Lepisosteus oculatus: one gene and its partners. The protein of the gene in region 4 purifies or fractionates together with the protein of the main gene of each other region. This does not show direct contact. Links are inferred from orthologs where the notes say so. Each region holds a gene or a part of one and is shown on either strand. Other genes may lie near its edges. The genes, in order: hnrnpd, mknk1, pdcd4b and eif4g1a.

The links.
Region 1: the proteins of eif4g1a (region 4) and hnrnpd purify together in Homo sapiens (affinity purification with western blotting; 5 studies listed by BioGRID and IntAct, with this or other methods). This does not show direct contact. The link is inferred for Lepisosteus oculatus from reciprocal best matches to the Homo sapiens genes EIF4G1 and HNRNPD.
Region 2: the proteins of eif4g1a (region 4) and mknk1 purify together in Homo sapiens (affinity purification with western blotting; 3 studies listed by BioGRID and IntAct, with this or other methods). This does not show direct contact. The link is inferred for Lepisosteus oculatus from reciprocal best matches to the Homo sapiens genes EIF4G1 and MKNK1.
Region 3: the proteins of eif4g1a (region 4) and pdcd4b purify together in Homo sapiens (affinity purification with western blotting; 3 studies listed by BioGRID and IntAct, with this or other methods). This does not show direct contact. The link is inferred for Lepisosteus oculatus from reciprocal best matches to the Homo sapiens genes EIF4G1 and PDCD4.

What each region holds. Positions count from the first base shown.
Region 1 is NC_090698.1:27,393,699-27,401,462, forward strand, and holds the start of hnrnpd (heterogeneous nuclear ribonucleoprotein D0), read right to left. Parts: upstream 3,025-7,764; 5' UTR 2,788-3,024; coding exon 2,630-2,787; intron 650-2,629; coding exon 481-649; intron 1-480. Other genes in the region: hnrnpdl (heterogeneous nuclear ribonucleoprotein D-like), read right to left, coding at 5,550-5,620, 6,354-6,518, 6,994-7,096, 7,431-7,562, 7,732-7,764. UniProt on the Homo sapiens protein: Binds with high affinity to RNA molecules that contain AU-rich elements (AREs) found within the 3'-UTR of many proto-oncogenes and cytokine mRNAs.
Region 2 is NC_090704.1:3,495,511-3,502,656, forward strand, and holds the start of mknk1 (MAP kinase-interacting serine/threonine-protein kinase 1), read right to left. Parts: upstream 3,114-7,146; 5' UTR 3,056-3,113; coding exon 3,005-3,055; intron 1,984-3,004; coding exon 1,921-1,983; intron 959-1,920; coding exon 835-958; intron 1-834. UniProt on the Homo sapiens protein: May play a role in the response to environmental stress and cytokines. Appears to regulate translation by phosphorylating EIF4E, thus increasing the affinity of this protein for the 7-methylguanosine-containing mRNA cap.
Region 3 is NC_090699.1:39,632,391-39,639,835, forward strand, and holds the start of pdcd4b (programmed cell death protein 4b), read right to left. Parts: upstream 3,140-7,445; 5' UTR 3,125-3,139; coding exon 3,071-3,124; intron 2,918-3,070; coding exon 2,857-2,917; intron 887-2,856; coding exon 581-886; intron 1-580. UniProt on the Homo sapiens protein: Inhibits translation initiation and cap-dependent translation. May excert its function by hindering the interaction between EIF4A1 and EIF4G. Inhibits the helicase activity of EIF4A. Modulates the activation of JUN kinase.
Region 4 is NC_090708.1:18,070,218-18,077,461, forward strand, and holds the start of eif4g1a (eukaryotic translation initiation factor 4 gamma 1a), read left to right. Parts: upstream 1-4,116; 5' UTR 4,117-4,321; intron 4,322-4,327; exon of another isoform or gene 4,328-4,744; intron 4,745-6,860; exon of another isoform or gene 6,861-6,880; intron 6,881-7,244. Other genes in the region: psmd2 (26S proteasome non-ATPase regulatory subunit 2), read left to right, coding at 5-187.

The DNA of each region.
Region 1 (7,764 bases), on a different chromosome or scaffold from region 4:
ATTTCTTGATTAGTTCTATTTTTTTTTCAAACCATAAAAATAGCTATGGTTTTCCTAGGCATACAAATTATTTGCTGATCAAATCAGGAATGTAAAATGTAGGATCATGGACCAAAAAGACATTTCTTTCATTTAGCGTATCGGTAAATTATACACAGTATAATATGCTTAAAGAAAGATATCCTCAAGAAAAAAAAAACATTTGCACAGGACTGAAATCAGCATTATATGCCCATTAAAAAATAATCTGTACTTTTATATAACCGTGTTGGAAAATCTCTACACATCTTCGAAATGGAAAGTGCTTTTAGAACAGCAGTTCTTTGTGAGTAACTGGTAGTAAAATTGTAAGTAAGTAGTAGCTGTAACCACTATAAGCTAGTACCTTCACAATGCAGAAATGTTTGAGAGAGCCTGTGCATTTACTATGAAGGCAATTCTAGCAAATTGGCAGCATGCTAACCTCAGAAACAGAAATACCTTATCAACGCTGTCAGCATCTTTAAATAATACAAAGCCGAATCCTCTGGACCGTCCAGTCATGGGATCCAGTTTTAGTGTGCAGTCTACTACTTCTCCAAACTTGGAAAAATAATCTTTCAGGTCCTTCTTCGTTGTATCCCAGCTCAACCCTCCAACAAACATTTTTCTGTTAAAGAATTAAAAGTACATTAAAAACAATCTTTTTAAGGATGAAAAACATAGGAACAGGTTTACATGCAACCACATGTGCACATACCATATATGGATGTATTGTTTAACAGTGTCTTGGGTGCCATACCAGACAATGTGTTAACATGGTATAAGCATCACATCATGCTCTTATGCTGATGCAGACACACATTATAATACAATTGGAACAAGTAATAGGTTTATTCCATGCTGAAAAAAAGAAGAAAGAGAACACAACGTTTCGGCCGTGGAGCCTTCTTCAGGTGTTCACCTGAAGAAGGCTCCACGGCCGAAACGTTGTGTTCTCTTTCTTCTTTTTTTCAGCATGGAATAAACCTATTACTTGTTCCTTTGCAGCCTACGCATGCTGACGCAGCTACCCACCTGAACTTATAATACAATTGTTTGCCTAAGTGAATTTTGTCTTCGAACAGCAAAGTGGTGCAGTAGTAAACATTGCAGCCTAGCAGTGCTCGGTCCCTGGGTTCAATTCCCAGAGTACTATCTGCGTGGAGCTTGTATGTTCTGCTCCGGTTTCCTCCCACAGTCCAAAGGCATACTGGTGGGTTAACTGGCTTCTGGAAAATTGGCCCTGGTGTGAGTGTGCGCAGTGTGATAGACTTGTGATAGACTGGCGTCCCATCCAGGGCGTACCCTGCCTTGCACCCGTGCTACTTGCCAGGATAGACTCCGGCTCCCCTGCGACCCCGAGTCAGATAGAGGGGTTAGAACATGGAGGGTGACGACGCTCTGAATGGGATTCCAGACCACTGCAGGGCGCAAAGACACTCTAAATGTAAATACTACAACTCGTATAGTCAGTATGTCTTTCTTAACTGGAAGGAAACTGGACCACATGTCAAAATTTACCTGAGCAACAGCAATAATGTGAAAACTCCTCCCATATAACACCCCTGCCCAGAACTGAACCCAGGACCTATGGCACAGCATGCCACTCGCCTTGATAACACTTCCTAAATGTTGTGCTTAAAACCAGATATCTTAACAGTTTACACACCGTGAAACTACCTAGAATACTGATTTGCATTCCTGAGCACTTAAATACCTATCTAGACAGTGCGATATGTATCAATGTAGCAGGTAATCAAAGTAAATCTACAATTTACAACTGAAAATGAAATTGGGGTGAGGTAGTAACACTTTTATCCGAGTTAAGTAATCACTGCGTCTGCACCGTAAACGTTTTAGTCAACTGAAAAACACAAGAAAAACATTCTAAGTATACCTATACCGTGACTCTATATAGGGTGCAAATCCTCAGCAAGCATCACTCACGAAACCGGTTGAGTCTCATGAGGACAAACCGGTTTCGCTTCAGATAGCTGACACTTGGGTGTGACCCAGTTGAACCACCGCGCGGTTATTCAGGTTGCTGACGTTACTATACCCACTCTGTACGATACTTAAAAAGCCATGAACTGTATAGCAACTTCCAGAAATACTTTCCACACCAGGTAGAAGTGTGTATCAGTCATAACACTTCACTGCCAGTGTTCTCAAGTGCGTTTTAATACCGTTTAAACGCCCTTAGATTTAATAATGGTCTATAAACTATATGGCACCAGTTGATCCCACTCTGTTATAATGTCGTGATTATAATGGACTGCGATAAATTATGCGGTACAGCTTCACGTTTTGGAGTACTGTTGCAAAAAGAAAAACTAATTTTCCGCAGTTTACTCCAACTGGAGTACCAGACATCGCCAGCTACAGCGAGACATTTTATATTTAAAAACAAAGGTTTCAGCGTCACTCGAGATTGCTGTTGTACATTACGGATTACGCTGCACAACACAGATTAATGCAGCACACGTTACGGGACCCATTTGTCGATGACCTGTCTCTGTGGTAGCATCGTCAGTGACAGTACTGCCCGCAGCCCCTTGTTCGCCCTGGAGACTACAGAGTCCGTGTCGGGTCTCCGTCCGTCTCTCACCCTTCATCCTCCTCGTTTTTGCTGGCGTCGATCTTCGATCCCTCGGACTCTGAAGCCCCGCTCTCTCCGGTCGCCATCTGCTGCTCCTCTCCGCCCGCCTCCCCGTCTTCCTCCATCTTCACCACCGGGTCCTCTCCGACTTGGTGCTCCTCCGACATTTTTTTATTGCACAAGAAATAACTACCCTTGGTATATTTTCTCAACCGGTTTGCCTTTTACTCCAGAATGAAATGCAAACGCGTGCTGTTTGGAAGACGCACTAATCAAGTGAAAGAGGTCTTACGCTGGCAACAAGGGCCAGTTGTTTTTCTACTGTTTTTAACAGTTATTTCAATACACGCAGTGCTCTTTGAATCTTAATGGCGCCGCTTACAAAATGGTCGCAGGAAGGAAGCACTCGTCGACGTTCGGCATGGGGCCAATCGGACAAGTATGACACAATCGCAGGCAGCCCTCTTCAGGGGAAGCGCTGTACTGCGCCGTTCATCACAGTCGCTCGGGTCTCAAGTTTTTCTACCGCTTGAAATGCAGGTCACATTAAATAAACTCATAACACTCAACTAGCGCTCCCGATTAATAGAATATGTGTCTTCTTATGATGAGAAATTAAAACGAAAAGCTCGACTTTTCAAGCTAAAGTGAGATTTTTCCGGAAAAGTACTTGATTATCCAGATTAATAGAGTGAAGCCGAAACAAACCGACCATTTTTAGACCGCGTAGCATTGAATGTGCCCCGCTTCTCAAAAGGTAGAGCTGTATGTCCTGGATACAGCTATTTGACCTAATTCAATTTCAATGAAACCTGCCTCCTGATTCCGCGGGCCGTTATTATGAGCCAAGGGAACAAACCGGACCTTAGCATGTTTACCTTTATATAGGCCGCAGTCTTCGTAAAACCCGCAACCGTTTGTTTCAGATTGCTGTACTTAAAGTTTTATTTAGTGTACAGTAAGTCCCTATACTGGCCTTTTGCCCCGATATAAACCATCGGTGAGCCATCTACTATTTAAAATGTTCTAAATGAGAAGTATCAAGTTCAAAAACATCAGAGAGAATTAAAGTTTACAATTTACGTTGAGTAAATTACATTAAAAGCCAACTGAAAAATTGAAAACGTCTCAACTTGACGGCAATATATTCAGAGGAATTTCAAAGATGTTTTAAAAAATCATTTGCATTTATAAATAATTCCACAATCAAAAACTTGGTGTAAACGAATACTTATCACAAAAATCAATAAAAGCTCAAAACATTAAGTGAAACACTGTTTTGAGATTAAGTATTTGAATGGCTACTGAACAGTGCATTTAGTTCCCAAAATAATCACACCAGGATCATTTTTGTATCCATACTCTTTAATTCCCTTCATGGCTGCAAAAAACACAAAATAAAAAAGCATAAAAATGTAAAGACCGCTTTACAAAACAAACAAAAATATATTTCATTACAACACCAACATGGCAAGGAATGAATGAGCCAACTCCAGCAACAAAACTTGAAAGCTTCTATTTACAAACAGACACCTGCTGGTGCCAACTTTGCCTCTAATTTAGAAAACAAGGTCATCTTAAAATAAAAACAGTTGTTCTTGATTTAAAAGGACTAGAATCTCTCAGTTGCCACCAGGGTAACAAGCAGAAAACTCATCTGGGCTCCTCACCTGAAAGAGAAGAGACAGCGCACATTAATTCCATGTGTCCATGCACTTTAAAACCGAAAATTAGAACACGGCCAGGTTTCACTGATTAACCTCTTGTGCTGCCAACTTTAAGCTATGAAGTTCTCTCGTGTTAAGGATCATATGTATCACACTCAGCTTGGCAGAAGTGATACAGCCAGCAAAAGCTTAGGTGTAGCTCCATTTCTAAAGCAGATGCACTTACCACTGAAGAGCAATTCATAACCACCCCCCCCGCCCCCCACTACTTTTGAACCCTCTTTCAGGCAGTTACAAATTGAGGTTAATAGTGCACACAGTTGACCTCTACAGAATGGCTTTTGCTGGCTTCAGTAAGCTTCTTTACATATGATCCCGAACACCTACATTTTTAAAAAAAGTCGTTATTTTATCATTTGAAGGTTTCTCTACTGGCTATAAAGAAAAAGCAAGCATTAAAAGTTTAAGCAATTTAAAGTTTATTTTAGAAAACAAAAATCACTGAAGGTCCAGAACTGAAATACAAGAACGACACTAAAATAAAAACAGAATACAATTAAACAGTTAAGTCATTTAAGATTAAACACAAATCCTGCAAAAAACCATTTACACAAAAGTTAAGCCGTTGTCAAATAAAAAGGCAAAGTCTGAAGTTTCCATTTTTTTATTTATTTTTTTATCTTTACGCTGGTACAGGAAGTTGGAAGAGACCATACCACAGGACAGCGTTTTCTTGTGCATGCCGTGCTCTCTGCCCGCTATGTGCGACGCCCAGAGAATGACGTGGTCAGGGTGACACACGGCCTGCAATGAAGTTCCCGCTGGCAGGTACAAACAAGGTACAACATCAGAGTTAGGAAGAAGGAAAGTAAAGATAGGCCCTTAATTTGTACCCTTTAGCAGTACTTTACCTGTTAATATTGCTAATAAGTCTCTTTATGTTACTTCCACATGATCACCTGTTACAAAAATCAAAGGAGAAAAGGGAGGAAACCTACAGAAAAACCCTTACGTTTTTCTGGAGAACTAAAAAAAAACTGCCAGAGAAAGCATGGCATATTAAAGATCTATAGACAGTTGTTAAAGAAAAAAATGAAACATTCGGGATGATGTTCATGGCAATATTTACCATTTTAAAGTTTGAAGGAGGTTTTTTTTTTTTTGAGTTGTCTATTGATCTTTAAAATTATTAGAAGTCAGCCAAGGGGTTAGGATTCAATTTACCTAAATTCCTTGAGCAGGTTTTCCTTTAGTTTTTCTTTTCAGTATGGCTGGTAGTTATTCTGGTGATTTCCGCCTCCTCTTGAAGCCTTCCCGTAACTGCTTTGCTGACCTAATTAAAAATAAAAGTTGTCATTTACTTCAATAAACATTAGTGCATCATACAGAAATTGTACACTTTTTGCACCCTATCCTTGGGGAATTCAAGTAGTGGCATGGACAAGTACCATATAAAAAGGTACAAAAGATCTCTGAATAAATGTCTATACAAAGTAATTTTTTGTACAAGTCTCCACACTGAATATACCTACTTTAACTGCTTCCACCAGTATTTCTTCATACATACTTTAAAATAATCACAGAATGATTTGAACACTTGTGTAACATGTATTCCCATATTAAAATTAACAATTTTCAATATAAGCTTAATTTTAAGATTAAAGCATGAATGACAAGGAAACAATCCAAATCCATAACCAAATAATGGTAAAAATTACAAATCCGGAAGCAAATCAATTTATTGGGAGTTATTAATGGGGATTATGCTTTAAAAAGATTCAAATGGTAAATTTGCCAACAAGGGCCCAAGTAACAGTAAGTTATTTTAAACTTCAAATTCCCCCCAAAAAATCGATTTGCTGTACTGAAAACTTCATAGTGACCATCTGCTATCATATAGACCTAAGAAATTTGTCTGCGTAAACAAAGCAAATAAAAATCCAAGGCAACATTACTGATCTTCATTATTGTACATACTAGGCCGGTTATGTGCTTTTGATATAAAAATACACAGTAATTTTATAACTTAAACACTCGGGTGATTTGTAATGAATAGTTCTGCTTACCATTGTAGTCGTCATATCCCTGTCCATATCCATAGTTATTATAGCCGTACCCAGAATAATCATAGCCGCTGTAGTCATTGTATCCTTGATTGTACCCATTGCCGTAGCTTCCATAATTCTGACCATAGTAGCTATTATAGCCTTGGTTATAGTTTTGACTTTGACCTGTGATGGACAAATGAATACATGTTCAAAGTGAGCAATTTGTCAAGCACAGAACTGCCAGATAATTCTTGAGAAATCAATTCAGATGTAATGATACAGAAAGGAACAGAACTCCAGAACGCCACGTTCTAAGAACAATTAGACGGGATTACACTAATTCTGTAAAAGCAAAAGATGTATTTAAGCTTTTAGCATGATAAACAATGTAGTTGCACTTTAAAATGTTCACTGAATACTGCCGACAGTGAAGTTTCCAATCCAGATTAACCTTCATGCTGCAATAACCAAGATTTAGCAAATCATTTGGCTCTTGATTTTGTACATGTACTTCGTATTCCACTTGTGACATTGTGCTAAGTATTGTGAAACCTGCAACCTTTTTAAATATGGATGTGTGGATTGTAAAATGAGCACCTGGAATTTAGGGACAGCAGAAAAAGAATGATAGAGTTTAATGAGTAAAAGTGGAACACACCTCCCCGGCCTCTTCCTCTGGAACCTCCTCTTCCAAAGCTGCCCCTGTCTCCTCTCTGCTGCTGCCTGTACACTTCTTTGGGTTGGGCAACCTTTATCTCGCACTGTGTACACAAACACCAGAACTGCGTGAACAAACTGTCAACAAGCCAGACAAACTTCTACGTGCACTCAAAGTTCTGACTTGAGTACAGTTCTCATGAAGCATGTTCATACAGTCCACACAGGACAAGACATCAGTTAGTCCACAGTTACCAAGTACAATAATATTAAGAGTTCTCGTATTACAGCTTCATGTGCAGATGGAATTAACATTTCCCTTTCTATTCCCTTAGCTACAGAGACAAAGCTGCCTAGGCCAATCAGTCATTTGAGAATAAAACCAGTTACAATGAAGCGTGTTCGAGTAGTTTTTTTATCCAGATCAAATCCAAGTACCTTTCCTGATCCAACTTGATGATATCTGTTCTCCAGAAGCTTCTGAACAGGGTCTTCATCTACGTATGTTACAAAGCAGAACCCCCTCCTCTCATTTGTTTTGGTGTCCATGGGGAGCTCAATGCTGTCAATCTACAAACAGAACAAAAGACACCTCGTTTATCATTTGGAGCACCAATTCAAAAACCAGACAACACAGGTGTACACAATTTACGGCTCCAACACACTTTATGACTTTAAAAAAGTTAAATATAGAATGACTTGTACATCTTTCTTTCACTCAACAGTTAGTATAACTTACATCTCCAAATCTTCCAAAATATTCTCGGATTTG
Region 2 (7,146 bases), on a different chromosome or scaffold from region 4:
GACGCATCTCTTCCAACATCCAATCTGCCCAGATTATTTCTGAAAAGCTGCTGCTCTTGAGGCCTTTTCATGCCTTCATGCGTTACATCTGATCCTCACCTGACCTGAAGGGTTTTGTCTACACTGCTGCGCCAGTCCATTTTAACCCGAATCAAGACAACTGATCGTGCTTCGATTAGGGATAAGAACAGAGTTCAAAAAGAGCACCGTTTAACTATTTATCTCGCGTAAACCAAAAGAAAAGCAGTACCAAAATCGAAATCAACAAAGGTAACTTCTTATTAATGTGTCACTTCCTCCTTGTTATGACTAATAGTAGCTTCAAGGGAATATCTATAGATCAGACCGCCGATTTCTTGAGAAACGCCAGTGTAGATGCGCAAGGATGTTGCTACATACTGTAGTGTGGTGCCAATAAAGTCTTTATAGAACCTATTGGCAAAGCATGAAGCAACGCAAGCCTTAAAACAACATGATATTTAAAAACATGCCACCAAATGACATCCGGCCCCATGAACGAGACCCTTCCTCATGCAAAAGCTGTACTATCCCGTCCAGTATCCTGACAGGCTCCCAGCTTACAGCCGATGAGAAGTCTGTCCTTCCCATTGCTTAAAAAAAAAGCCACTCATTAATTAAGAATTATTCCTGTATTAAACAAAGCAGCCTATTTTAAATCCCTCAAGTACGCCGCTACTCATTTCAAAGTGGCGGGGGGAGTACCACTCTCGAGTGAGCTCTGCGCTTGCTAATTTACAGAATCCCAGCAGGCAGGCAGGCAGGCAGGAGATGCGCGGCAGTGAGGCACTGCCCGCCTCGGAGGTGGGCTCTTACCGGCTGTGGCGCCCGTGTCAGGTGCCAGCTCCTCGGAGGTGGTGGCGGCGGAGCTCTGGGGGAGGCCGGCAAGTCCCGCACAGCCCCCCCCAGCTGGGACAGAGGCCAGGGAGCTGTTCTGCAACTGGAGGAGGGGGAAAAAAAAAAACACCATCGCCCTTCAACACGACTGCGTGCAAGCACACGGATTCAGTTTCCTCGTTTTTGCATGTTCGGCACGCGATCAGGCATAGGCGTTTCTGCTTTAAAGGGGTTAAATTTAGGGATCTTTCCAGAGGTATGAAACGGCGGAAAGCGAAACATCTACAGGAGGAATAAGAGACGCCTGAACTGGAAGCACACGAGGGGAACACCCAGTAGCATTTTCACTTCTGCTTTAAACGGGGTTTATTCCTCTTCCTGGTGATAACAAATGAAATACTGACCGAGCACAGATCTCATAATGCTACACTGACTGAAAAGGAAATGAAAGTGTTAAAACAGACATCTTTTTTTCCCCAACAGATTTACACTAAAGTTCCTGACTCTTCGAATTTAATCCACCCCACAACTGACCACACTCTAAAAAACATAGCATCCATTCTAAACTGCATAACAGGAAGAATTAGAAAAAATGTGCAATCATTGATAAGATATTTTTAAAAAGGTTTCCCTACCATTTTTCCCCCACGAAGAAATAAAGGTCTTAAACTTCAACTGAGGAGACACCCCTCAACACTAACTGCACATGTAGTTTCATTCACGTACTTTTTGCCCTTGTAACAGAGAATGCCAGGTTTCTCAGAAACGGCATTCTTTTTTTAGTGCACAGGAACATGTGGGTTTGAGGTTTGCCTGGTGATGACAAAAAAAGTTAGGCTGCTCTTCTTGTTAAAAAAAAAGTAGCCTACATCACAGTGGTCTATTCTGCGGTCTGACCTAGGCGACACTGTCTTAGACACTGTGAAGCCCTTCCTGAGTTCCCGACAGCTCTAGTAAGCTGTGTGTTTGCTGGGAGAGGGTGCTCTGTTGACCATAAAACCACATGAGAGGCAGGCAGGCAAGGGGCAACTCGGGAACAAGATGAACACGGATCTGGGAGTTTACCTGCAGAGTGTGCTGAAAGGCCTGCAGCTCAGCAATCTTGCTGTGTCGCACCATCTCCGCCAGCTAGAAATGACAAAGCACATCCTCAACACACGCAGAAACCCTCTCCACGCAGGAAGTCAGAAAGGGAGCAAGCTCTGGTCTGTCGATCTCTTGCCGTGTGCATGTTGCAACCAGCAGGAGAAGGCTTAGGGTTGCACTCTTCCCGCCCAGTGCAATTTCTGCCTCCGCCACTGAAGATCATCCACATTGAACCACAAATGCACTGGGAAATATACTAAGCCCTTTCCAGACCAACATGACAACAGCGCTTGGCAAGCATACCTCCGGAACATGCAAACACAGGCTGACAAGGGTCAAAGTAAATTTCCAGATCCTGCTTAGATGAAACCGCCCTGTCCTGACCAGCAGAATTCCTGTGTTTTAATTAAATTAGAATCTATATCTCATGGCTGTGTGTGATCATTGTAACGGTAAGAGAACAGCCCTTAACAGAAACTAGAGAGGGCAATGAACACGGATAAGCAAACTGTCCACCAAACGGTCTCATCTGAAATATACGACTTAAGAAATACACTACAATATGTAACCACTGAAATATTAATAATTTAAAGTTAGTCACAGATTTTAGTCTAGTTGCGACCTCATTTAGTTCACAAACGTTTGCAGGCTACTATATCCCTAGTCTAGTTGATATAAATACATCATGTCTCAGAGACATTAAGTCGTCATATAGTATTCTCTAACGAGCCGGCAACTACAATATTTCGCAATAACTAAATTGGTTACACAACAACAGAACAACGTTTCGCAAGAAACTGCAGATTTTTATCAAGTCTAGTACATTTTTATCAAGAAGGAGAGTGTTAAGCGTACTATACCGATGAAACTCACAATAAGTAAGAATTTACTGTACTACTACGTGTCCAGCACTGAAGTTAACCCCAAAGACGGAGCACATAGTCACCAGGGTAAACCGGTCGGTGCCCACTGAATAACCTCGGTGTTTTTTAAACTTAGTCACGCTGGAAATCAGAGTTTAGGTGTACATAAATGCACCTGCCCAACGTAAACAGACACAAACCTGAAAACTGCGCCCGTAGCAGCTTAACTCCGCCTTCAAACCCTCCGCCATCTTCCAAACCACAACATCAAACCCCTCGGTGCTGTCCAGCTGCTCCAGATCGCCTGCTGTCGGCCGCGGCGGGGGCTCTGTCTCCGCATGCGCAGATCGTACAATGGGCGTCACTGTCCGCCATCTTGGTAAGGTCTCCGTAATGCAAACGAAACTTGTCACCTTTGTGTTATACAGAGCCTTTAAAAACAATCGCCCCCCCCAGTGCTTTACTACACATGGGTGTACATTACGCAAAACAAAACCAAATTATACTATAAAAAGTCGTGAATTTAAACTAGACTTTAAAGCTCTCGTGAATTTGTCTTTGATTTCTTTTGGGGTGGTGTTTTAGAGCCACAGTGTGAGGCATGGTAAAAAAGCAAGACCAAGTCCACAATGTATGGTATGTCATCTATATAGTGTACATAGAGGGACAAGGAGACTCCAATCCCAGGATCCACGTAGTCTTACAGGTGCCTGCACTACCTGCTTATAAAGATTAGAAGCACGTAAATGTTATGGCTATTGAGGATGAAGGGTCACAGCATTTTATTCCAGATGATCTTTAAATAAGCTAATTTAAGAAGTCACCTGTCTGAGCTGATGCCAGTTTAGTTGTTTCAGATCTTTAGAAACTGGTGGTTTAATGCTTATATGCAAAATGCGCTGGTTCTGGGCTCCCCGTGAGGTTCTGCAGGTTAGCACCTGTTCAAGCTGTTCAATTGGCCTCATTTAGCCAGTAACGAGCTGATTGAGCTCGTTAAGAGCTGAGCTGAAATGAGAACCTGCGGGCACTCTGGCCCTCCAGGAATAAGACAGGAAGCCCCACACAATGACATGTGCCGAGAAGGACTTTCTGTTTTTCCTGTTGTCTCAGTCCTAACTCATCTGAGGCAGGATAAATATCCTGACAAACTTTCTACCAACATTTAATATAATTCAAGACATTGTTTCAAAATCTATTAATGCCTTTTGACATTTTAACTAATGTTCTAATTAATTGTTCATCAAAGACACTAATCTTTTTGCATGGACTCCTCTGCCTGTTATGGTACTGTGCTCATCTTCCCAGTATATTTCCTGGCAACCAACTAAGAGACATCTTAGCAAGAATCTAGCCATTAATCTAACAAACTGCTTTTTTGTCTTTCTGTTTAAACACATTTATCAGCACAGCCTAGCCTGAACTGAAATAAAAAAAAATAAAGACCTGACTTGTTTTTCAAGTTCAGTAATGAAGTAGGTAAGGAATTGATGATAGGAGAGATGTGGCAATAGAACTAAATCTAATAAAACAACTTTTAAAGCTATAAAGTAGGTTTTTTTTTCCATTAGCTCCAGGGCAGAAGAAACCCAGACACTTTTCAGTTCAAAACTTCCAGACATTTCTGTAGGAATACGTCACATCCATCTGGAGACTGGACTTGCATCAGCTACGTTGCTTGCTGGCTTGCGGCCCGATTATTCTTGTCTTGGAAAGACAGGAGCTCCAAATCACCCTGAGAAAGAATGTGAACTGTTTTGCTTGGCTGAGGTTTCAGCTAGAGTACAACAGTTCACAGGGGTGTGGTGTATTTCGAGCTACCAACAGCGTGATTTTCCAAAGACGCTGAAGGGCACTTTAAGTACATTAAGTTAAATTTAGACAGCTGTTAAATTCTTCAGAAAGGCAATGCATCCAAGTTAAAGAATGTGAAAAACTGAACCGTGTTATAGGCACCTCTGGGGAATTCGTTTCCAGTATTAGTGCTGATCAAGAGCAGTGCAGTGGGAGAGGAATTGTCAATGCTCTATATTTCTGATGAGATATTAGATTGGGAAGTTATATCAAACTGTATATGAACAATATTAAGCTCATAACCACCTGATAGAGGCCTGGGTTCAGACTGCCAATAGTAAATATGCTTGGCAAATTGTACTTGTTCTTCTCAGAAAAAACAAAACAAGTTTCATGTCCAGATTTTTATTTGTGATGCATTTCACCTGTGAAACAGAATAAAGTGCTTTTCAAGAGAGTTCCTCCGTCTAGTTCTCTACACAGCAAAAGATATGAGAATGCCACACATTTTGGCAAAATCTAAAGAAGATGAAATGGAATTCTAAGCAGCAGTATATCATAAAGAACATTCAGAATAATAAAAAAAACAATAAATTCCCAATTTTCATAGAACCACATATGTAGGAGTTAAGGAGTTGTTCCTTAATATCAGAATATTTGTACCATAGTGGTGCTTATAGTAATACACTAAATTAACCACTATTTCCCCAGCAGTGGCGGTGGAGCTGGAATATGCGTGTCTGTGGCATGTCCTGTATATGGGAGAGACAGAGGGAAGGAGCATGGGGAGTCTTTTCACAGGGCCTGGCGCTGACGCGTTACAGCAATGTGGCTGTGCAGCTGACATGCTAATGGGGCATCAGGAGGCAGCAGTGCGAGGTGCCTGCCTCAGAGATCAGTGCTGTGAGGAAACTGCTCACCGCCTGAACCAGGCAGCCTGCTGCCTTCTGCTCCTGACAGCTTCGTAACAAATGTGCCTTGAAAGAGAAAACAGAAAACTTCCTCATGGAGCAGAATAAAGATGGCTGACAGGTGTAGTTTTTTTCCCTGAAAACACTATTTTCAGTCCTATTGTAACCAACAAAAACATGGAAAAGAAATTAGGCGATTTGTCTAAGATTTCCTATACAACGCCATTAGCGGGACCAACGGACTTTTTATCTTAACTGCATTTTCGATCTTGTTGGTGTGTCTACGCTGCACGGATTTATCATCTTTCAAGGAGATAGGATTGTCTGATATCAGTATGTTTGCAAGTTTTCCAGGTCTCTTTAAAGCTTTATCAGCTAAAGAGCTAAGAGAAGCTGATCGATCGGTCCAGTTAAGTCAGTAACTAGCAGGTTTAGCTTGTCCAGAGGTTTAGTTGGAATGACACCCGCCCACCAGGGCCAGAAGTGGACACCCCTGTCTTACATGCAGTTATATTCAGAAAGATTTTGGGTGAAGTTATGAAATGAGACTTTGACAAGCAATACGTCAATAGAGCTTTCGCAGTGGGCCAGAGAAAGGAGTTCTTAGGCTTTCACACTTGAACACATGAGATAAAATGTGGCACAGCGAGTCGAGGAGGGTATAAGAAAACAACTTAATCTACACATGGTTCAAAGCAGACCTTAAGAAAAGCATTCAGATTGAACCACTAGAGGGCAGCCATCTAGAAAGCCTTCTGCACCCACCACATTAAAAAGATAAGAGTGTACATTTGTCACTTCTGTAATTGGGACAGTAAAACAGCACCAGAATGTTAACCCTGTTCAATTCAGAGGTATTCAGTGAGCAGTCAATATAAGAGAGTAAAAGTGAGGAGGGTCAAATCAACAATAAAACAAAACACAATTTCGGTCTGTACAATAAATCAGTTTTACTGAAAAGATCATCATGTAAAATGCATCATCTGAAAATACAGGTAAAAAGTCATATAAAAATCAGAACACTATTTACAAAAAGCTTTTATTGCTGTTAATTGTTGAAGCTCTCTTTGTCACTGAGAGGAATGAAATGATATTCAAATGCAAAACCGGGGTGCAGATTGTACCTCTTCAGTAATGTATTATTTTTCAAACAAGTCCTGCACAGTACCTACACTTAGATATACTTATTTTACTTTAGTTTCTGGTTTAGGTTTAATTTGATAACCTGACCAGTCAATTGAACCCCGTCACTAAGAAAGAAGAAAAGAAATGTACGTTTTTTGTTTTTCTGCAGGTCCAAGGTAGACAGCACAAAATCTCTCTCTGTCAGGACCCCCAGTTTTGTAAGAATTTAAGAATAATTCTGCTGTGGTTCTACTATGGAATTGTGGTTCAACAAATTCACCTTGAACTCTGCCAGAGCAGATTTGACATTCCTCCACCTTTGACACAGGAGAAAGGTTCCTCTTTGTATCCTGGGACCCACTGTCCTGGGAATGGACTCTGAAGACCTCTGGAGTCTCTGATCTCCTGAATGAAAACTCCTGATTTAGGTTCCATGTATAAGGTGGCCCAGTGATGATGTCTGTGAGTGTCCACATCTCAGTGTCAAACTACACTGCCCTACACAGTTTTGCACT
Region 3 (7,445 bases), on a different chromosome or scaffold from region 4:
GTGACTCTTTCAAGCACTTCGGCACTTGAATAAACACTTTATGCAACTCTTAATTTTTAAATTCACTTGACACTACAAGAAAGGGGGTTTTCAATTGCTCTGATCCCTTATAAAATGCACTACCTGGTAACACACTGAAATCCTGTGCTATTGCATTTGTACGTATGAGCTCAACCCCAAACGGGTACACCAGATGAACAGAAGACCCAACCACTACTACAGCCACCTACAGTGAAACAGAGAGCAATGTAGGTCAAATAAACAGGTTCTGGATATTAGCACCTACTTTCACATCAACTGGATATCACTTATTTTATCTGTAAAAGGTAGTCCAAAATCAAATACATTTTCATCTAGGTAATTGCATCAACTGGGCGTCAGCAAAACTAGCTGTTTGAGGATCCTTCTAACTCATACAAACAAAAAGACATTTACGAGTTTACTCTGTACATCACATCTGGGATTCTTCACCTGCTACTTGATAATCTTATCTTTTTAAAAATTAATGCAACATATTTGGAGATAACTACCGAATTAAGCAGGACTTGCAGAAAAACAGACAAGACTGGCAGAAAACTACCTTTCTTCGGCAGTCCCCTGCCCTTCCCAGACCGGGACTTTCTGTCCAGCAGCTTGCTCTTGGGGCTGGTAGGGGTGACCAGCGGGCTGCGGGTGCTCTCCCCGTTATCGCTGAGGGAGTCCCCCCGGCCAGAGTCTCGGGAGGAGTTCTTCCTCAGCCGCCTCTTGGCCTTGGCCTTCACCCGCGCTTCGTGGATGGTAACTGTGGGAGAGGTGATCCAGTTCCCATTCATCTCATTGTCCAGCTTGGTGGTCTCCACCTTCTCGTCTTCACCAGACGGACTGGAGTCACTCAAAGCTTCGGCTGCTGTAGAAGACAATTCACTCATCAGTCCCACTCACATTTTTTTGTCCCCCCACTATGGAAATCTCAAAAGAAACAGGCTGGCTGTTACCACCTGTACAGATCATGGGTCTTGTTTCAATCAAACTGGCCTCTTGACATTCAAACTCCTTCCACAGATTTCTTCCCTGTGCCTAAACCTTCATTTAAACTTAAGTTGATAAGCTTTCCAGCATAATTCTGTTTGGCCAGAAGGAAAACAAAGATTTGCCTTCTGTGAACCACTGTAGCCAGGAGCCAAATCTATTAAAGCAGAAGAAAAAGGGAAGGAGAAGCTTAAAGCATCTTTATTAACTGCACGTCTTTGAATGTATAGAGTACAGGTCTCTCAAGATGTGCTGAAGAAATCCACTTGGACAAGAGCTGCTCTGCTCCTCACTCAGATGGTACTTTCACGCAGGACAAACATTAAAAACACATACAAATCTGATTCTGGCGACAGTCTAGTGAGGCATCCGACATTAAACTTGCCAGCTGGAATGAGGTCAGTACAGGTAATAAAAGGACAAGTCAAGAACATCAAATTCTCAGGTGTAAAATGAAACAATGTTTTCCACTGTTTTTACCATTGCAGTTAAGATCAGACTTAATTCATTAATATTCCACCATATTTGGTCACACTACTTACTAAACCTTTTGCCATTTCTAGCAGTACAAGGCACAAAGCTAGTCCTACTGGGAAAAAAAAGTCCCATTGCCAAAGATATGCATGGTAGTGTACCACTGAATTAAGTTTGATCTTAAACTGCATCTATTTCTTCAACTAAACATAAAAAGACCTTGGCCAAATGAGGAGATTCACGAAGCAGATTTATGGCTCAGATTTGCTTTCTCCCAATTACACTGACGATGATCAGTTTGCGCTACTGCAAACAAGAGAAAGGTGACTTATCTATTGGACACGATTTTAAACAGGATGTGGACAACATTTGTGGAAACTTAAAACAGTATTTGTAAACTAGAATGCCGTACTACAAATGAGCAGCTGGTTAGTGGCGAGAGCAGCACATGAATTTCTCTGCATGCGTTTTCAAGTCCATCACAGTCAGTCAGGAGCTGCTCCTACACAACACTTTGAGATTAAGCAAAATCAAGCTGTATGGAACTACACACTTCAGCAAAGGACACTCCAGAACAACTGAAAAGACCCCCAATAATCTCCGTAATAAGCTCAAATGACTTTGTGTGAACAGGAATTGCATATGTAAGACTGTGATGTCTGCAAAAGGGCTTGCCTCACTTTAATTAAACATGTCAATGCAAGGTGTGGTTCAGAATTAAACCATACAGATAGATGGTAATTAATGCTTACAGAACTTACTTAACCTCCTTATAGTTTTAGGTATAACTACAGATACCTGAATAACTAGAAGTTAGAGATATGACCCTTTTAAAGTAATGAAAAGAAACGCAAGATTGCAATACAACTCTAAGAGCATATACCATTCTTTTCTTTAGAGAAAAGTGCTCTCCGTAAAAACTAACAACTCAATTTCAGAACCTTATCAAATGAATCGTCACTCTGAAAGCAGAATGTACAATTCAATTACCTCATTAAGTGAAGATCTAACAAGCCGTTTAAAATTAATAAAATATACTCGCTGGCACATGCTGAACTCCAGTCTTTCGTCGTTTCTGAGCTACGTATGGAAGTCGCCGCATTTTGTCTTTCCATCAGCTGGATGTTTTATCAAGTCACTCTGGATGCAAGAGCAGATTCCTTAAACACCAGAGCAGCGTTACCCACCTCTTTCCAACTGACTCCCCAACTTCAGCGACAAATAACAGCCTGTACTTCCTTCGTGCATTTTGCGCCACGGTAATATAAAGTAAGAGAAAGTCCATAACTAACACATTAAAATCCAAGAAAAAAAACATGAAATGTTAAAAAACGAGCTGGCTGTAGGGGGAGTGTAGCAAACGAGGCATCTTACCTACGTGGTTAGCGTTAAGCCAAGCTTCGATTTCGGTCGCCATGGTGCACAAAGCGGTCCGCTGCAAAAGCAAAACAAAAGCCGAAGTTATTATCCTTCCGTCAAAAAATGCAAATTTATCACACTTGCAGACACGGCTTTCCCTGCACGTCGTGTACGTGTTTTTCTAAACGAAAATTCTGCAGGAAAGTTGCAAGACATTGAAGTCACACACTTGTCCGTACATGCCCGGAGATCCTCTGTCCCCCTTTCTCTGCGGGAACAGCATTGTGTCACACACGATCTTGATTTCTTATTCCCTGTTTCCTATACCTTTGAGCCACGGCGATACCCCAGAGCATCATTCAAACATTTTGCTGTAAAGATGATGTAAACGGTCCCCACCATTAGTGGGGTACCACTGGCAAGCTACTTGGTTTCTAGAAAATTCTACGAGTTTCGCTCTGCAAATCCAGCAGATAAATTAAACAAGTACCTGATGCAAAACGTAAAATAATGACAAATGTATACATTACCGTGGATAAACACTGCATTAAATGACCCATTACAGTAAATGCTTAGAATAATGCAGACTAACGCATCAATTGCACTACATTAGCATGATGCCATAATTTGAATGCAGCAAAGCAGGTGCAGTTAATTATTCAACAGCACTAAAAGAAGCTGAGCCATGTTTCTGATTTAACGTCCTTGTTTCGTTTACTAATACCTGTAGTCTTGTACTATATACCGAGTATGCCAACTTAGTGTTAACTATGTTTATTATCTACAGTACTTAACCAACAACAATCAGAGCTTCCAAAAACACCTAATTTCTGTTTTCTTAATCTCGTACATTACAAAATTTGAACAAAAGCGATCATACTTTACAACTGGAGTGCAATGTTATGACCGCAAAAGTATCCACTAGTTGTACTAACCTACTGTGTTCACTCAAACCCAGTCCCAGCTGCAACTTCCAAGTCTCGATTGTTTTTGTTTTCTCTGCCCAGCAACAATGTCACATGATCTCCACCCCTGCATTTTATTGGTCAGAGGAAGGGAGGCGGAATACTTCAACAACCTATCGGAACCACTGCATGTTTTTTTAAAAACTCACTTACGAAAATAAATAAAACAAGTCAATTCCACCTTTTTATGTGCTGCCACCTACAGGTTGGCGGTCCTGTACTACCGCTGCGCGTTAATTAAACAAATCGACTGCATTGTGGTGAGGTAGCCCTATACACTTCTTATATAGGGTTACCAGGTTGTAAGTATCCATTGATAATTACTTCTGAAACAAAACTAGACAAAATAATTACAAAATTTGGATCTGATACAACTTAAAGTACTGTTTCAAAAAGCAGGTTTTCACTACAATGACAAATAAAATGAGGTTTTGGAGAATCATCAGAATTCCTGACATTGGAATTCTGGATATGATTGCACTCTTTTCTGGCGCTTTAACACAAATTGTTTCAAAAGCGTGTAAAATACTTCCGTGATAAAAAGTATTTAACACATGTGATTTACGAACGATGCGGTTACGCATATTAGATTAACAAACCTGCTACTGTATATGCGTCCCTTGTCTTCCATACTGTTGATGATGCATTATTTGCAATTCTCAAAGCAATGTGAAGCAGCACGCATGAAAAGGAAGATGGTCCCATACATACAAATTCTTTAAAATGTATTTACTATGTATTTGAATCATTTTCAGTTCATGAAAATTATTTGCGTAGTTATAGGGAGTCATTAGAGCTTACTATTCAACCTCACAAGAATAACTTTCGGTCCTTGGACTACTCTCTTTTAAGCACCCAGAGCGTTCTTTTCATGCGCGGATTTCTTTTTCTCCGCATGGTAACTTTTAAACCGGATAATTTGAGCACAAGAAGACTGGGTACAACAATACAGAACCCGCAGCTAGAGTGCCTTTCACAATAACCAGAAAACAAACCGTGCTTAGTTATAAAAAAAATAGGTTTTAAATAAATTATACCTGATACACAGTATATTGTGGGGAAGTTGATAAAAAAATCCAGCTGTTTCACATTAAGCAATGAATGAAATGTCCAAAGTAATAACACACATTGAGAATGTACAATCATGTTGCTTAAATTCCTGCATGAGTCTGATTACACTGGATTTAAACGAGTGAGAGAGAAAACAATCCCACTAAAAGAAATTACAAATCAGCAATGGACAGATACAAAAAAGACAGATATTATCTCATATGCAGCGCTTGATCACCTTCAGGCCAGCAGCCCAAGCAGCAGGAAGGCAGCCTGCTCATTAGATGTGACTGGAGCCGGACTGCTCTGGCTCAGCAGTGTACAGTACCACTGTCTCTCTGGGCTGCTCCGCGATGGCGTCAGGCCTCCTGAGGAAAAGGGGGATAAGTGGATCCACGGCTCACCTCCGTGTTGGCGGCAGTAAGAGAGTGAGACTTCCCTTGTCTGGGACGCTGGCCAATTGCTCCTCTTTGCAGCAATGAAGCTGCCATTTACAGAGGGGTCAAGTGGAGCACTGTGGTCAAAACTAAGCCTCATCCAGGTGTAAATAACACTCTCCATGCTGTGACAGGCAGCTCAATAACAGCTCCTCACTGTCAATCCAACGTACAGTGCTCTCTTGGTTCACAGATAAAAAGCAATAATACAGTGTTTTGTGTTTAGATAAACTTACAGATACACAGACAGGTATAGACAGAAAAATGAATGGATTCTTTCTTTGGTTTAAGTTTTAATCTCTAGTAAACATGCAGATTATTAATATTAAAACCTTTCTTTCTTCTTCCTTGCGCTGTGGTTTGTAATATATACTTATTTTTGATTCACTGCATGATGGCCTACTTGTTACCATGGTGACATGCATCCAAGTCTTATGTTACCCTAGATAAATTGGGCCTAATTTCAGAGAATTAATCATCGAAATTTTTATGCAATTGCTTTGTGCAAAATTACCCTCCACATGCATTAAACTTACTTTATAACACATTACATTTTTAAATGAGCTTTTGTTGAAATAAAACAGTGAAGTTGCTTTCAAAAATGCTCAAGTAAGCATATATTTTAACAATGTAAACTGCTAAATCAGTACATTCCCTGCATTTTCAGTGGGAAGAACATTGATTTATGGTGGCAAAGCTCCTTTTGATATAAATAAACCTTGTGTGAAACCTAGAAACTGAAAAAGATAAGGTGGTGTTAAGAAACCCTGACAACGACAACAGTTAACAGTAGAGTAGAAGGGAAGGCATTACATTAATAACATTGTCTTTCAAAAAATTGGCTAGCTACCTTTCAATGTCTCATTTACAAGAAAACTTGTAAATATTTGGTGCACAAATGTCCTTGATAAGGATTTTTATTTTCCACTTTTGGATAGCCTGTGAAAATGAAGTAATTCACAAGGCTTTCATCTTCTGCTTTTACAGCTCAGGGTGTGGACACTATTGCTCTTTTCACACAAAACTGTAAGCCAAACTGTTGTTTTTTTTTTCAAGTTTAATGAGAGGTTCACTTTCTTGTTATTTTCACTAACTCACAGGCTACTTAATTGTAATTATTTCATTTTTTATTGAGGGAGAGCAAATAATTGTGATAGCAATGTGAAAAACATGGGAGTTCTAAGCTCAGTGTCTCAAATGAATGCTGAACACCGTGAATAACAAAATCTTGTTTAAAAAAAAAAGACGTGGTAAGATTTTATGCTGCACAGATTGCCTGTCATTGTAGAAGAGGGTGGATATAAAGTTTTACAGGTGACACATGATTGCAAACAGCTCTTCAAAAGGCTCTGACTAGTTGGATGTCAGCAAGCCACTCACCTCATTTGTTCTTTTCTGAGCTCATAAATCTACTGTAGGAACTGCCAGCTGTCTGTGCCCACTGAAGTATGCTGGTCACAGATCTGTCTCTGGTTACACTGCTTTGGAAGGAAAGAAACACTGGGTTCAAAGCAAGGGAAGATGACACAGAGTGTTATCAGAGCTGTGAAAGCATGAGTCTTTTATATCAAATCAAGAAGTCTAAATTCCTTTAAAGTAACTGTCCTTTGGTACTGTAACATATGATAATGTATTTCAGAAGTCACTACCCCCCCTAATCTTAATTACTTAGTTGAACTAATTATTTGGATAAGAACCATTTTTTAGGTCCAATCAAATAGATGATTGAAAAGACCTGCAGTATCCTGACATTGATGCCTTTATTATTATTATTTTTAATTCAGTACTCTGTTCTATTAAAAGCTCTTTTTGTGTGTACTGGAATCTGCATTGGTTACTAAGCTCATCAACAGCCAGCACTGGAACTTGTTAGTACACAGTAATTAGATTGGTTGCTTACAGATCACTCTCTAGCCTTTCCATTCTAGTGTCTTTTAGATTTAAGACAGGGGAAAGGAAATGCAAAAGCACAAGCACAAGAGCCTTGTACTGAAGATTAAAGGAATCAAATCCATTGCAATACCAAACTGGCTAAGGAAGTTGTGTCTTTAAGACAGTCGTTTCCACGTACTACTGTGTGTCAAAAAACATGGCCTTGCCTTGTTCTTTGGTACATTTAATCTTAACTGCAATGGCACTGTGCCTTTGCGTG
Region 4 (7,244 bases):
CCAGGCGGTGGATGTGGTGGGACAAGCAGGGAAGCCCAAGGCCATCACAGGCTTCCAGACCCACACCACACCGGTGCTGCTGGCCCATGGGGAGAGAGCCGAGCTGGCCACCGAGGAGTACTTGCCCGTTACGCCCATCCTGGAAGGCTTCGTCATCCTGCGCAAGAACCCCAACTATGACGCCTAGAACTCCCTCACCCCCTATGGGGGCTCTCACTGCCCCTGGACTTGTCTCACTCTCATTCTGTTGTATTCTGCCCCCTGGGCTAGGAGAGCCATCTCCTGAAGAAGGAGACCACAATGCTGCGAGAGGAAAACCAGCACCCACAGATAATGCGTTTTGGCAGATGTTTATCATGTTTTTTTTCCTTTTGTAATAAGCGCATGAAATGCCAGTCTGTTATAACCAGAATTATTTTTTTTGTTTTGTTGGTTTTGTTACAGTACTGTTAAAGGTTATGTAATAAATTTATTTCTGGTCCACTCTCTGGACTGTGAAAGTTTGTTTCGGTGTGTAATTGAAGACCATAATTGAGGGGCTGTAATGTCAACAGAAAAATTATTTAAAAAACCCTACAGAATTTTATGAATGCATTGTGGACTGTCATAAACAAGGTTTGCAGTGCACAGGCAATGTTTTGGACTTGCAATAAAGTGCTATGTATTTTTTAGCATGGGACAATTTGTCAGTAAATCCATGTATTAAATATTCTAATAAAATTTCTTGTTCTCTAATTGCTTTCAAGCAGAGGGTTAAAAACTTTCAGTGTCCATTCAGTTTCGTAAAGTTTCCCAAGTCTAAACTTAATTTGAATACTAATTTGTTTCTGCTGTCATTCTGCATTGAAAACCTGTAGGTGTACTTATATTGATATATGCTGCGCTTAGTGTTCTGAGGATTTTTCTGGTACATATGGTGTTAATTTACTATACTGGTTTTCTGACTTGTGAACATCCAGTTAACCAGGTGATCATTTTAATTATATTTTCCTGCTTCCTCTGTGCTTGTCACAGAAGTTTTTCAGTGGAGCTTTGAGTGAAAGTTAAAATTAGAACATTAATTTTGACTGCTAAATAGACTTATGTTATTTTTTTATATATTTAACATAAGAGAAAATTCCTTGAAGTTTCAGACTGGAATGTGGAAGAATGTAATGCTCTCGCATACAATAGCTGCTGGCATGTCTGTGATGTTGCACATATCTCTGGGTAGAACTGCTGTACAGCCGTGCTGAAGGTCTCAGTTCCTCTGCATCCTCTCCTGTGTACATTAGAGCAGTACTCCTGATCCTGGAGTGCCAGAGCCTTGACAATTTTATAGGTAACCCACACTCCTCAGTAGCTACATTATAACTAAATTGTGATTAGGTCAATGACTCACTTTCCTCACATAATTCTAGATTTTCTTGCTCTATTCCACTCCCCTAGCAACCCTCTCACTGTATCACTGAAAAGGGTGGTGGCACTGGTTTCGTGTGTGCTGACTTAATCCTGCCTTGTCCACTCTCTTCTAACACCTTCGAGTTTCATGCTGTTTATCACACTGGGTGGAGTAATGGTGAGGACTTCAAACTATAAAAGGATGTGGATTCAACACCCAGGTGGGACACAGGTGGGTATTGAGAAAGGTACTTCTCTCAAGTTGGTTTAGTGAAGCGCCCTGTTGTATTCATGGGTAGTTAGTAAATGATAGCTTGTTCTTAACCTGCCAATCAGCTGATGTTTGTGTTACCATTTCCTAGCTGGGGTTTCCTAAATGAGTTGAAAGGCTTCCTCTCATTTATAACTTGTAATCAATTGATGTATGTGTCCCAGTCCTGTTGTTGTTTCTCCTGTCTGTCTGACATGTCAGAATCATGACTCTGGTACCCCTGAGTGGAAAGCAGTGAGGGGGTAGAAGACTCTTAGCCTTTATGCATGATTTGAACCATTGTGTGCCAGTGACTGAGCCTATGTCTCTGTTCTGTGACTGAGGAGACAAACCTGTTGGCCTGCACAGAAGCTGCTGTTGGTAAAGAACATTGTCTGGCCTGCCAGTTTACAAAATCCTCTCTACAACCCCCAACTTTTAACAAATTACACTACACTGACACTTAAGAAACCTAAACACTTAAAGCTCTATCATTTTGCTCATTGCAAATAGTTGGAATAGTGCTGTAACTAAAAACTAAGTTTGTGTGTAACCATGTCTTCTGTTTGCTTTGTGAACCCAAAAGCATATTGGTGCTGTTTTCCGTAGCTTAGCATTAGGGTTAGTGCATTTTTATCTTAGGATCACCAGTCCATCGTACTCACAAACACTAGGACTGCTTAAAGATGCCAGTTAACATAGGCAGCATGTCTCTGGGCTGCGAGAGTAAACAGGATCACCTGGAGTAATCCAACAGGGTAACTAGGAGAAATGCAGACTTCACACGGAATCACCCCAAGCCAGAAGCAAACCCTGGAACCAGGAGCTGCAAGGCAGCAGTGCTAACCATCACACTACTACGACACACTCATTATGTGCTGTTATGGTAGTTTAGCATTCGGAAAATATAGGAGATGAAAATGAATCTTCTGAACCCAAAGATCAGTTGCTCTTTAGTCAGTAATATACTTTCATTTAATAAATTTTGAGGTTAGTTTTTGTTCAATTTAACTAAAAACGCACTGGTAAAAATTGGCTACATTGGTCAGCACAGACAAGATAACAGATGAAAGAAAACGTTTCAGCCGTGGAGCCTTCTTCTGGTGTCAACACCTGAAGAAGGCTCCATGGCTGAAACGTGGTTTCTTTCTTCTTTTTTTCAGCATGGAATAAACCTATCACTTATTCCTTTGCAGCCTACGCATGCTGACGCAGCTACCCACCCAAGATAACAGATGGAAAGAAGGGGATGCTGTGACTAGCAGTAGATAAGTCACCTCCAGCTATTTCTGCTGGCCCAAACACTTTAATCATATGTGTGAAAAGCATAAATTTGATGCTTTTTAAAAAGGCAGTGCATTGTTGTGCTCCACTGTCACCACACTGTCAACTGAAGGTCATTCCACTGTGTTACAAATTGTGAATGTGCTTATCACATTTCAAGGAAAAGCAATTCCTGGTGAGGAAAAGCACATTTTTGTGTTGCTTTTATTAAGAAATATAGAGGATATAGAAAGCCTGCACTCAGGTTTTGCTCTTTTGTGGTGTCAGATGTGACACGTGATCAACCAATGGTTTCAAGTAACCATAAGAACTGGGACACATTCACTTCGGGTAAATCTTGGTGTGAAGTGTAGGGTGTAAAATTCAGTATTGGATTGTATACTCTTCTGAGGCAATAACTGCATGGTGTCCACAAACCTCTGATCTCACCAAACTCGTTTGTTGAAATATTTTAGATACTTTGCTGTAGTAACTCAGAGTCAGTGTTCTGAGTTGCAAAATCAGTGCACAACTGGATTTCAACCTGGATCTTCAACCAAGACCTTGGTTGCGTTGGCTGTATGCTTTGGATCACTGTTGAACTGCATGGTATAGCACTGGCGAGTAAGTATGGCAGTATTTTCTTCTTTAAAATCAGATTAAATGTTTCTGTAAACTTCAGAATACATTCTACTGGTGCATTCATTAGTTGTATAATCAATTCTAGCAGCAGCTCTGCCCACCAGCTACTCTTCTATATTATATGCAGTATAGATGAGTCCTGAGGGTTATGACTCAGGGAAAGATGGAAGGAAAAGGGGATATCATGACTAATAGTGAACAAGCCAGCAGCAGCTATTTCTTCTGGTCACTACACGTTAAACCTCAGTTAACCTTCCTGATTTAAGTACCTTTCTGTGGAGAGACAAAATGAGGTTCCATTGAAAACATTCAGACACAGTCCGTGATTTAAAATAAGTTTCAGTATCAATAGTTACATTGACCCCTCAGACATTGAAGGCTGCCCACTCTGTTGCATTAAGAAAATCTATGTGTTTGCAACAGTTGCTACACAGCCCCACCCACACTTGCAAAAAAGACCCAGCAAGTCTAGATCCTATTATGACCTTTTCTGTGAGGTCACATTCAACATTGAACCTGCCCAAATCTAGCAAGCTTACTTGCACATGGTCAGGTAATGCCACGTATCGTTCTTGAGCAAGTGACAAAAAACAACTTTGTTTATTCTCTAAAAAGCATTTTTCTTATTGGAACGATTGGCAGTCTCAGGTCACATGACGAGGGTGAAGAATTCCTGCCGCCCTAGTCACATGACAAGAGTGTGAGGATTCCCATTGTAATTAACCCGGAAGTCTCTCACGGTTTCCGTGAGGCTCCGTCCGGCTTTGCGGACTCAAGGAGAGAAAGGTAATGATATGGCTCTTCACTTCACTCTTTGCTAAATCTGTATCGTGTGGACACATTGCCGTCAATCCGTGTGCATCTGCGCTTTAAACATGGAGCTCCGGCACAGAAGCTCTCATTCGGGACACATGCTCACCCAATAAGATATATTTAAAGCAGTATTGATTTATTTGATTTCTCCTTTTTTTGTTTTTCTCGTATGCTTCCAGGGGATTTAAAACACACTTCTCGCCTAGATCAGCAGCCCCCCTTTCCCCCAAAAAAAGGTTAGGACACCCTCTTTCCCTTGGAACTGGAGCCGAAGAAGCGATTTATAGGTTTGGGGGAAAAAGTGAATAGAAACGGACGAAGTACGGAGACAGAAAAGATCTTTTCTCTGTGAGCCCTTGTTCTGTCCCCTCTCTGCATGTCCTTTATTCACTTTAGGTAAGCAGTCTCTGGGTTTTATTTTCTTCTTTTTTTCCTGGGAATAGCTGTTTAAATAGTGGTTTCATTCCGGCAGTAAAAACGTTAAGTGTCTGTTTGGGGGGCTCGGTTGTTTTATATATTTCGGACTTGTTTTGCTGCTGACGGGTGGGTGAATCGAGTTGCCTTCTGTGTGCATTTTGGACAGAACTGGCATTTCTGGACCGTGTTTTCGCGTAAGCTGTTTGTCGGGAGTTGGCAAACCCGATCTCTTTAAAATTGACTTCTGCAGAAACGTTTTCACAACCGGATTGGCCGTTATGTAGACGCATTTTTTCCCAGTATCCCGGAGACAGTGTAGTTAAAATGTAGCTGGAAGAGCCCGTATTACTTTTTCGCTTGTGAAGCAAGAATATCATTGGGTTGCAGTGCCACAATACTGGAGCCCGACTCGGGGTAGGCCCCAAGCTTTTTAATTATTTATAATGAAAATAAATGGAAATGTCGGGATTTATACTCCGTAAAGCTTGGGGTTTATAATGATGCCTCGCCGGCCTGTGTCACGGAATCTCTTCTTGGTGATTATTTGTTAGATTCAAATCGCTGCGTGTTTTTAAACAAGATCACTGTCTTCTTGGACTGCGTGCATTCACGCAGATGGGGTTGCTACGCTAGGCCCCCTCGATGGGAGCCCAGGCCCTTCATAGTTCGGTGAAGCTCGGCTGCTTCTTGTAAAATATGGTGGGAAGGGGAGGCAAACCACTGAAGCAGAGGGATTGAGATATAATCTTTGAGTAGTTTGGAGTCGGACCTTATTGTTAAGTTTTGCGCCGGGAGTGAAAAGTCGATTTGCCCCTGTTGAGCGCTGATTGGGAGGACCGACCTACCATATGCTCGGCTGAGAGAGACAGCGTGACTTTAGAGAACCGGCTTCCTCCTACTGCTTGGACACGTACTTTAAACGGGTAGATGAGTCAGTGTTTTCGAATTTTTTTAAGGGATCGGTGTTTTTTTTAAAGGGTGGGTATAAGTTTTAAAAATGCTGCGTTCTCTCTATCGGCCAGTGGGGAAACTGCCTTTCTTGACTCTTAAAAGGCATTGCTTGTCACTTGAGGTCGAGACATTTTTTGTCCTCTTCTAAAAATAAAATGCTGTGGGAGGATAAGCGAGTTTAATTGGGTTTGTTGTGTTTACTGTTTACAGTTAATGTTCAGGACGCTAAATTGGACTTCAAACTCATAAATAGGTACATCTGGTTGGAAGTTCGAGGCCTTCACAGCTCCTCCAGTCTCCTCGCTTCTGGCGATTTTTTAAAATGTGTCTGTACGTTTTTCAGAAGTCGAAATTAAGTTTTGCCGGTTTCCATGTTATACTAGGTAAAAACGTGTTTTATTTATTTCGTAGACGATTTTTTCCAAAGGGTGGCCTTGATCGCAATGTGCATTGACATTTCTGATGGTGGGAACTTATTTTTTTCATTGTTTAATGTACTTTAGGGCTTGGTTGAACCGGTTTTTTCGTTCGGTTGACGTTACAGGGTGCACGACCGGGGGTCTGCGTTATCGTGCGTACGCTGCACTGTTTACAGTCGTTTTGAATGACACTCGGTTTGAGAAAAACGGGAACGTGTTAGGACGATACATCTGCTCGGGTATGTGTGTTTATCCTTATTATTAATTGTAGTAGTATTAGGGGGCGAAAAGACGGACACGGCTGAGTTGTCATTAAAGTTGTGGCGCTTTGCTTTCCCCTTCTCTGTGAAATAGTGACACGTACCGCGTATGGAGAGACTTATATACGTCTTTCTAAATGGCATTACGATATCGATACGGCTCACAACCACCCTTATCCCCCGAGTTCGAGCCTTGTTTGTTTTTGTGGAGTTGGTTTCGAGAGTGAGACGGGGGAGTTATTTTCTGAAGCGGGCCCTTTTTTCTGAAAGTCGAGTTTTCCATCATGGCTGGCAGAGATGGGGGGGATGACACGTTGAGTGTGCCGAGAGGGAGGCCGGGCACTGCGGGGACCAATCCGGAACTTTTAGACCTCTCATTTTAGGATTTGGACACGATTGCTTAACGGACTCACCTTTACTGACCCTGTTGTTGGACAAAACCGTTTAGGCCTCTGTTATTTTGCAATCGTTTTGCAATCCAAGAGGTAGGTTAGTTGTTTCATTACCGTAAATTCACCGAATTAAGCGAAGCTAAATCGCATTTGGCGTATGAAGAGAAGTTTATCAAGGCTGCGGATCCTTACACAGTTTGGGTAGCAGATATAGACATTTCCCGGGGTGTATTTTTGGGGAGTGAAAACGACACGTTGTAACACTGCCGTCCTGGTGAGAGAGAGAGCGGCGTTCAAGGCCTACATAGTAAGGTCGTGAAAAACTCGCGTATTTCAACTTAGTTCGGCATGTGATAGTGATATAAATGGGAAACGGGCCACTTCGACATGTACGGTGTCCCACCCGACTAGGGTGGGAGCCAGGAGGCGTTATTTGATGTGGTTATACGGTCGGTTT